Linked DNA regions of Caenorhabditis elegans. The protein of the gene in region 2 interacts with the protein of the main gene of each other region in a biochemical or structural test. Each region holds a gene or a part of one and is shown on either strand. Other genes may lie near its edges.

Region 1 (6,498 bases), on a different chromosome or scaffold from region 2:
TGTTAGACAGTTTTTTGCTGTTTTTCAGAATTTCACTGAGTCCCCGTGTCGGTGGCCGAGGTTTTTTCTCGGCCACCAAGCAAAAGTCGGCAAGTTTTCAATATCCAGACATAGCAAAACTCCAAAAATAAAAAATAAAAATTTTGATTCAATTCCATAACTGGCTCATAAATTTTACATAGGTTGACGTAAAGTCTGCCAATTTGTTTAAGGCAAAAGTTAGTTTTCTGGCTTATCAGGCATTGTGTAGGCAGACAGGTAGGCAGGCGTAAGGTAGGCAGGCACATAAGTAGGCTTGCCATGAAAGTCGGCGAGCAGTCATTGAATAGCTTGGTCGGCGAGCACTACTATATAGTCACTCCAACAGACATGCAGGCAGACATAAGGCAAACATGCACGTAGGTTGACATACTTGAAGTAGGCACGTAGGTAGGCGGACTTGAGTTTGGCTGGCAGGTACAAAGTAGGCGCCTAGGCACGCCTGCCTAGCACAAATGTGTTTGCGAAATTTTCAAGTCCAATTTTTTGCAGCTTTCTCTATCCATCCTGTCCTCGTGAAAAATTGTTTGTATAGATTCGAAGCTCTCAACTAGTTAGTCACTTAACTGAAACCTGCAAAAACAACACACAAATGACCTACTTTTCCGCTTCTCCCCTCTCTTTTTCGCCTAAACCAAAGTCCATCAGTTAGGAGCAGTACACTAACGAACCTAACCCCGGAGAAAAAGAAAAGATGGAGAAAAAGTAGAAAAAAATGTTTTGGGGAATATTATCCTGTGCTTTTCAGAATGAGCTTCTTTTTTTTCTTCACAACTTGAAATATTTTCACTGAAAAATGTTTCAATATAAAATTTTGAAATTTTGCGCTCTCGTGAACATTGAGCATAAAACGTTAAATTTGGTATAAAATTTTGAAAATCTGATTTAATTTTTTCCAGTCTTTCGGCTTAAAAACAGGCACAGGCTTATGCCTACCTACTAGGCTGCCTGCTTCGGCCTACCAACCTACCTATGTACCTACCTACCTAACTTCTTTTTAGGGTTAACTCAAGGTTTACGAATTTTCTTATTTAATTTTTAAATTATCAAAGCCTGAACCAAAGGAAACTGGTTCAAGAGTATTTTGGAATTAGGCAGAGGTTCAGGTAGTCAAATATTTGTGTGCCTACCTAGTCTATCTGCAAAAAAACACAAATATCTTGGTCATCAGATTTTTTCAGTTTTCAAAATTTTAAAATGACTTTTAATATTCAAACAAATTCTGAAATCTCTGGGCTCCGTGTTCGGTAGAGCGCATTTGCACACTTGGCGAGCTCTCTAAACTTGAATTAATTTGGGAATTTTTATGGAATTTAATGGAATTTTTATGGAATTTCTAGACGTTATACTTTCTAGAAGTCGAATAAAAACCAAAAAACAGAAAACAAGAAAAAAAAACTTCCTCAATTTTCGTCTCCTCCATCCACCCCTCCTCCTCAAAAAAAAACCCATAGAAATGTTCAGCTTTACAAAACTAATTGCTTTGTTTTGTTGTTTTTTTTCGACCCGTGCTCCTCCAAAAGCTTCTCCTCCATCATTTCAAGCCTTTCATCTATATTTTCCAAATTTTTTTAATTTTTTTTTCAGCAAAAAAAACGTGACAAAACTGAACTGCTTGATGCAGTGTGTGCTTCGAGGAATTAATTATTCCCGGGGTTAAACAAAAAGACGAACTTTTTTCGCGCCCCGTTACTTTTTTTTCATCTTTTTTGTTTCATTTTCCCCACATTTTCCGCCCCCATTCAACTCATTCATCCGTTTTTCACCCTAATTAGACTTTTTGCTCCTCTTCTGCGGCAGCCGTTTCATCATTGTTTGCAAGCCCCGTTCTGGGAGGGTAGTTCGCATGGGATTACTGAAATGTTGCCACTTTACTTAAGCTTGTCCGGGATTTAGGTCAAATATTAAATTTTCTATAAAAGGCTTCCAAGAAGTTGCTTCCCACACTTTTTATTTTCTAGGATCTAACTTATTTGCAAATTTCTATTGTATCTATTTTTTTTCACACAAAGTTGCATTGTTGAAATTCCCGGGAGAAACCTAGGGTGCCGAACTTCTCGCCTACTTGCCTACCTACTTACCTAGCTACCTGCCTACCTATCTAACAACCTACCTGTCTACCTACCTACCTGCCTAATTTTCAAACCTACTTAAGGCAAACTTAAATCAATGCAAACAGATCCCAAATTTCCGGCAACATTTTTTAAAAAGAATTTTTCAAAACTTCTAGGCCACCAATCTAATTTATTCGATTCTAACAAAGTTCAAAGACCCAAAAATCCTATCTACTGTAATTTTGAAAAGTTCTAAGTTTATTTATTAGTACTCTATTCAACATTTCCAATCATCAACGTCAATAGGAAATTTATGTTTCACCAAACTTCCTATTTTAGTCATCCTTTCCAGTTCTCTGATCGTTATGAGTACACCTAAAGCTTGAAGGAATTGGCATGTTGACGTTGAAAATTCTAGAAAAATTAATTTCAAAAAACGATGAAAAAAGTTTTAGTCAACACAAACGCTGAAACTGAACCGTGTTTTTATTTACACTGCCTGAAATTCTTTTCAAGTTATTTATTTTGCTATATTTTTACACATATATTTTATTCGAAAATATTGTAAATTCTCATTGCCATTTTTCTTACCTATCTCCAAAAAAACCCCAGAAAACCCCATCAATTTTTCCAAATTTCCAGACCTCAAAAAATGGACTCAAACGTGAAATATTTCATGTATGAAATTTTTATTCCATCAATTATCATACTATGTTGTGTCGCCGCATTTCTCAATTTCATGGTTGTCATCTCCCGGTTGTACTGTAAAATGCGATCAGCCTCACTGGAATTGACCTACTCGTTGGCGCTATCTGACACGTGGACAAGCATCGTCATTGGATTTTCCCTTTTTTGGAATAGTTACAAGCCGGTCGTCCTGAATATTCCACATTCCAGTTATTGCTTTCCGTTAACTCTTGAGGTTGGTTTTTTTTGAAATGTGGCTCAAAAAGCCTAGAAATAAAGAAAAGCTAGGCCACTTTCAAAACTTGTTAAAATATTTCTAAAGGTATCCCTACCTATTTTTTGCCTGCCTGTCGCCTATTTTCTGAACTCGATCGGCGTACGCAGGTAAAAGTTTCCACAAGTATCTTGTAATCATCTATATTAATTTGCTCAAAATTCAATACGTGTACTTAGGGAGTAGGCACGCATGTAGGCAAAAGGTAGGCCTAGACGACCTTGAAGGCAAGCAGGCAGGCATTTTGGGCTCTATCCGAAACCCTACTACGCCTGCCTTGTGCCTACATGCATGCCGAGGTACCTACTACCGAAAAAAAAACACCTTTTTTTCATTTTCCGGTTGAAAATGCAATGGTCTCATCAAAAAAGAAAATGTCTACAAACCCTAAATCCTGGAGGTCATGTCCAAATTCAAAAAATTGGCGGTAGGCATGCAGGCAGGGAATAGGCATCACTACGTGAACTTTTCGAAATTCTTGATCTCTTGCTACTCGCCGAGCCGTGAAGAAACTTGATAGGTTGAGCAACACTAGTTCATCTAATAAATAAAATTAAACGCAACAATGCACACAAAATGCAACACTTGAATTGAGTTGACGTGATGTACGGAGGATAAAATTATTCTGTTAGATGGAGAGTGCTCTTCTATTTGGAAAAATAATGAAATTAGGAATTGGTTCAGAAGAAAATCGAATTGAGAAACAAAAAATGATGTTAGAAATGTTCAAAGTTTAATGAATGGTTGTTATTTTGTGAAGTTGAAGTTTAAAGTTTAGAAGTTTTTTGGATTTAAAAAATTGCGGTAAACATGAACAAGAAAGTGACGTCATAAACCTGCCAGTTTGCCGTAATTTCTAGAAATCAATTTTAGAAAACATTTAATTTTATGAAACTTCACAAAACCCCCAACTTTCAGGCATTCCGAACCGGAGGTCTGCTTACCGGAATTTTCCATCTCGTCGCACTGGCATTCACCCATTACATGACCATTAAACGACCATTCGACCATCATAAAGTACTCCCGATTCGAACAATCTACATTATGATCTTCTTTATGTGGGCAACACCGCCAATGGCTCTTATGATCTATTTCGCCAGCAATTCGGGACAGGGATATCAGTAAGTGTTGTAACGGATTTGAAAAGCCTTTGATAGCTGTTCTAGGAACAAAAGCCCAATCTTGAGCCTAAGCCTTAGCCTAAGCCAAAGCCTAAGCCGAAGCCTAAGCCTAATTGTGAGCCTAAGCTTATGCCTCAGCCTAAGCGTAAGCATAAGCCTAAGCCTGAGCCTGAGCCTGAGCCTGAGCCTAAGCCTAAGCCTAATCCTAAGCCTAAGCCTAAGCCCAAGACTAAGCCTGAGCCTAAGACTAAGCCTAAGACTAAGATTACGCCTAAGCCTAAGCCTAAGCCTTAGCCTAAGCCTAAACCCAAGTCGAAGCTTAAGCCTTAGCCTAGGACACAGCCAAAGCCTACGCTTAAATTTAAGCTTAAGCCTAAGCTTAAGCCTAAGCCTAATTAGCCTTAAAACTACATCACAAGTTAAACGTATTCCTATTGTCAGTCAGCAAATTAAATGAAATCTAACTACTATTATACATACAAAACCACCCATTATATTCCATTATTCCAGAAGCGAGAAATGCATGGGCATCAAATTTTACGAGAACTTCTATTTCCGCGCACTTGTCTCTCTTATCATTGTCTTTCTCATCATTCTTACCACCATCTTCTACATCAAAATGTTACAAAAAATTACCGAGGTAGGTACAATGTTCAACAACTTTGACAACTCATATCTTTGTTCATTTAAATGATACAGAAAAGTTTTAAATTACAAAACTATAGAGAAACAAATGAAAATTGTTTTGTTAGTTGGCAATTTTTTGATAAAATCAATGACAACCGAGATATGATTTGTCAAAGTTGGGCAATATTTTAACTTCAACTTCCAGGTCCGTAGCAAAACCGCTTCCAACTCCCAAACCCTCGGAGCATCTGCCCGTGGACGGCGTACAGTTGTGACTGCAGTTCTGATCTTCGGAACTTTCCTGATCGGGTGGATGCCAGCAAGTATCCTGTACATCTTGACTGCAGAAAGTATGCCCCTGTATAATAAGCACAGTGTCTCGATAACTATCATGTCGATCGCCGTGCTGGTCAGTATTATGGCGAAGACGTTGTGTAATCCAATTATCTATGCGACAAGGTAAGAGTTTTTGAGTAGACAGATAGGTATGCATGCCTTTGCGCTTACGCAACGCCTGTATCGCTATGTAAAGTCTGCCTGCCTAGATGACTACTTGACTACGTCATACCAACCTATCTGCCTACACCTCTGCCTATCGCTTATTATAGGCATTGATGTGCCTTCATTTGTGCCTACTAGGTGTCTACTAGGCAGGCAGGTCTTTGATACCTTCTTGAAAGCGTTACAACTTTAAACTCTATATACTTCCAGAATCCCTGAAATCAATCAATTCGTGTTCCAAAAGCTGCTCTACCGCGTCCTACCCGGCCGGAATCCGACTATTCGAAGACAAAGTGAGCTTGAGCCACTGAAAACGAGATGCTCACAACCAAATGCACATTCTGTGATGCTTTAAATGTGATAAGCAGATTTTTATATATATGTACAATTTGTTGCCTTTTCTTGTCCATTTGCTCTCCAACTCTCTATATTTGTGATAATTTATTGTTATTTTTGGGAGCACACTTGAAATTCTGGTTTTTTAATAATAAAGATTTTAAGAAATATATTTTGTGAAAAAATTATTAAAGTTTGAGTTTATTTCTGTCAAGGTAGAGTTCTCTTTCACGAACCGCCGAAAAAAGTATAGCTTGCGGCGGAACCCGGATGAGGTTGGCCGCAAAACTCATTTTTCCGATTTGTCAAACTCAATAGTTATAAAGGTTTTATTATTATGAAGAAAGATTGAAAGCAATTAAACGTACATATAATATTAAAATTTGGGTTGATTTGTGTCTAGTCGGAGTTCAAGAAAACTGGTGGAGGATGTGTGCCGTCATTGGTGGCCTAAGAATTATGTATGACGTCATTTCTCTCCCACGAGATGCAGCTAGAGAGAACTCAAGCACCCGACATCATCTGGGTTCCGCGGGCCGCTTCAAAAGTATAGCAAGTGGCGGAGCCCGGAAGATGTCGGAAGCTCAAACTAAACACAATTTAAACCCCGATTAATTAACAAATTTCTCAAAATTCAATATTTACACACATTATGCCAAGGAGATCATCATTATCACCATATTACACCGTCTTGTGCTTCTTCACCACTTTCGCTTTTCTCGCCTTCTTTGTATTCTTTGCTAGAAGCCTCTTATAAGCCCAAAGCCTCTTCTTGAAACTATCCAAATCCTTAGCTCTCGGAACAACACATGGTCCACGTGATGGATCGGCGTCTACGATCTTCTCGGGACAATACATA
Region 2 (3,870 bases):
AATAAAACATAGGTTCACACTGAATTATTCCTAGTTTCCCCCCAATTGGCTGATGTTGATTCAAATGTGCAATTCGACACAGAAACATACATCCCTCCTGTTTTTTTTGTCTCCAATTTCAAGTACCATTAGACATGGTGATCATAAAAGAAGAACTTTCACTCAGTAGATCTTGTAATTTTTGATCTTTTCGAGTATCTACACTTGGTTCAAAGAATTCTTCAACTTTTAAAAAGATATGCACGCTTTTTTTTCTTCTTTGAGTGTTGCTCAAAGAAGATTAAATTCCTTTATAAATTTGTGGAGGAGTATTAATGAAAGCCTATCACAAATGTCATATGATTAGTAGCAAGTCAAGTAGATAACTAATAATTTTGCCATTGTTGCCGGGCAACAAAACAAATCAAATAACTCAGATTTCATGTAAAAAACTCTTGGATTACATACAAATTTTCTGTTTCTCAAAGTCTAAATTTAGTTAAAATCTTATCACAAGGTAGTTCAAGGTACTGAATATAGCTACAATTATTGTAGGTAAACGTACTATGTAACATTAGTAGATCTTTGACAAATGTAGGAAAAAAAGGAGGATGTCTACAAGATTAGTAAAGTAGGAAGTTGTAGAAAATATGAGCGTTAATTCGTTTATATGTAGTTCAGTAAAGCGCGGTATTGCAATGCCGAAAATATACTTTTTTGTTCATGATGAACAGAATTTCCAATCCGAAGCGTTAATTTACCCAACATTTTGGGATATATTCTGTAACAAATGAAACATCAAAAATAATTTTGGAGCCATAAGTCAAATGGTAAATTTTTAAGTCACAAATTACCTTTTTAGGAAAATTTGCCGCATACCTTATTTTTAGAGTTTTTCATATCTCTCCTGTGGAGTTTAAAAATATTTTCAAAAAAAAAGAGCATATTGAAAATCTGGATGGACAGATTTTTGTACATTGTTGGATTCTGTGCTTTATTGTGAGGGGCTTCTAGACAATAGTGCAAGGTTAAATCTCTCAAGCTCAGATTTTCTTTGTGACATGTTGAAGATTAAGCTTGCAAGACGGATACCACAATGATCACAATAGGTGACCTTCAACTTTTCACACTGGCACTGTCTATCTCTTGCTTATCAATTTGACAGAGTACAGAAACTCATAAATCTACGCTGTACACGGATAAAAAACAACAGTTAATGTATTGTATTTTGTAAATTTTGGCTCTTTGATTGATTTAAAAAAACAACTTTTTAATTATTTTTTGAGCATTAATTATTTTCGAAAATTACCTATTCTTCTCATGAGCTTTGAGTGTTCCTTATTTAGTCATGCTCCAAAAAGGAAAACGGTTAGACTTTTTAAAGTTGGTTTTTTTGACGTATTATGTTATTCAACATACTTCTAACATTATCCCTATGATTTATTTCGGTATCTGCCGAGCATCGGTTCTTAAGATCCATTTTTTATTTTGTAAAATGTTCTTGACGCGGAGCGAAGTCTTAATATTCAAAGAAATTTTAATTTCGGTTGAACATATTTTACTAGAATTCAATAAGGTTTCATAATTTTCATAATAACGAAATTTCCAATTCCGTTTAAAATTGTGTCTTCTTTCTTAACTTTGGGAAAGGTGTTAAGCATTCCAAGAAAACTTTTTTAAAGCAAATGTGATGTTAAATGTCCTGCTGAGAAATAAAATTATAGGTTTTCGGCACATCAACCTTTAGAAAGTTATGCTCCATGTTCTGCAATCCTCCTACATAAAAGTCAATCATGTAAATAAATAAGGAATCAGGTTTGCCATATAATGGGGAGCACAAGTCAAGAGATCAGCTCAGCGTAAAAAAATTGAATTTGGGTTCTTATTATACAACGGAAGCATTCGAAACTTGATCCAATTATAGCATTATGAAGGAAAAACGCTGTTTTACACATCCATATCAGAATAAATTTGGATTCACTTTCTCAATCCCCCTTTTGAAATCATTTGATTCTGTCTTGTTGTAATCCAATCAAGAGCTCATTTCTTTCTTCTTCAAATCTTTCACACTTTACCTTCGGCTCCGCCCAAATCACCTCAGATGGGCGGTGCACTTGTCCTAGGACTCTCCCGTGCTATATAACCAGCAGAGAGTTGCCGGATTAGAATCATTTGTCTATTCTTTTCTCGCTTGAGGGTGGAGCTTCTAGTCTCACGTTTTTTCAGCTCAATTTTTCTTATCTCCATTCAAATTTAAATCTTACATTGTTTCAGTGGTAAATTTGCTTGTGATATCAACTCAAGATGAGCAAAATCGTCGCTTGCTTGGTCTTACTCGCTCTCAGCGTTATGTGTGTCTACTCTGCTCCCTATGAATTTGTAAGTGAATTTAAAACTTGAAACTTAGATTAAAGTTTCTCCAATATTACATAAAATACCAATAACATTGCAGAGAGCAAAAAGAGCAATCAATCCATTCTTGGATTCTATGGGAAAACGAGCTGTCAACCCGTTCCTTGACTCAATTGGCAAACGATCTTTCCGTCCAGACATGATCACTGAGGAGAAGAGATATTTTGATAGCTTGGCCGGTCAATCTTTGGGAAAACGCTCCAACAATCGATATGAAATGTTGGAAAATTACTATTAAGTGTATTTAAATTATAATCAGATCAGCCTTTTTTCGTATTGTTTTCATTATATTCTGAGTGTTCACGCTGTGTTTACTCCTTCATTTTCAATTTTTAAGACGATTTACTATTTGCGAGATCTTATTAAAATTCCCCTCCACCATTTATTCTTCCGAATCCTTTTTTCCTCGTGTGGTAGTAAGCAAGCAAGCCAGAAAATAAACTCTGTTAATAAGATATTTCTGAAGTGAAATTCACACAAGAATACGTTTGAAAACTCCCACGGAGCGGTAATCACGCTCACAAACCACGGCTAGCTTCATCATCAACTGACTGGACACTAATCCGGGACACAATTGTTCATTGTAAGCACGTACTCTAGCGACATTAATGTTGTGCTAAGATTATATACCAGAAAAAAAGGATTAGCATTTTATTCACCCACGGATCAGTAAACCGGATACGGGTCTTCATGACTTGGCGAGATTATGGCTGGCAACACTGGAAATGCATGCCGACAAAAAAAGACAATAGAGTTCTTTGTGTAAGCTATGGTTTGTTCTGACGCACGGTTCGGGTCAGCAGAACCAACGGCTCTTTCATTGGCCATACCTTGAAGCTACATTATTTGACAATATATCCAATCAGATGACTTTTTCTATACATAGAAGTTTCTTTCGAGTATCTACTGAATAACAAACAATACGAGCAAAATCACACGTTGGCTACAAAATGTATTTTTAATGTTGAGAAGAATCTCGTACACAACGTATATTTCGAAGAACCAGCAAGTTGAAACAGGCTAAAATTATTGCATACTTCACTGAATCCGTGGGAGGGAGTGATATCATTGCAAAATGACAATTTCACTGTTTGCCACAGCGCCATGACAACTTGACAACTCGATTCACAAATTCAATGGGGACACGGTGACAAAATTTGATTAGCTTGGTAATTGAAAAATTGAATTGTAGCTGGAGAAATAGCTCGTTCTATAAAAAATAAGTCTGCTAGGTTTTGAATTAAAAACTGAAAATTTTAGGGAAGAATTTCCAAGCTTCATGCAAAATCCGTTTTTGAATTTGCATTTTCTGACCCGATTTCATGATAAAGTTTATGTTTGACAAAAAATTAAAATATTTTCTAATTTTAGGATAATTCAAGGCTGACTTTGAAAAAAGTTAATTCAAATGTTTTATATAATTCGCCGGAATTTTAAAAATTTTTAAACTATTTTTCTGTCATGACTTCTTTTGTCCAA

What was found.
Region 1: the proteins of nlp-3 (region 2) and npr-42 interact in a test that uses a peptide from one of them, tested with the Caenorhabditis elegans proteins (one large-scale study listed by BioGRID).

The regions. Positions count from the first base shown.
Region 1 is NC_003280.10:4,273,469-4,279,966, forward strand, and holds npr-42 (G-protein coupled receptors family 1 profile domain-containing protein), read left to right. Parts: upstream 1-2,733; 5' UTR 2,734-2,745; coding exon 2,746-3,015; intron 3,016-3,972; coding exon 3,973-4,175; intron 4,176-4,685; coding exon 4,686-4,815; intron 4,816-5,007; coding exon 5,008-5,261; intron 5,262-5,513; coding exon 5,514-5,658; 3' UTR 5,659-5,800; downstream 5,801-6,498. Other genes in the region: C01F1.5 (Peptidase M12A domain-containing protein), read right to left, coding at 6,321-6,498.
Region 2 is NC_003284.9:13,176,831-13,180,700, reverse strand, and holds nlp-3 (Neuropeptide-Like Protein), read left to right. Parts: upstream 1-2,253; 5' UTR 2,254-2,283; coding exon 2,284-2,358; intron 2,359-2,431; coding exon 2,432-2,629; 3' UTR 2,630-2,845; downstream 2,846-3,870.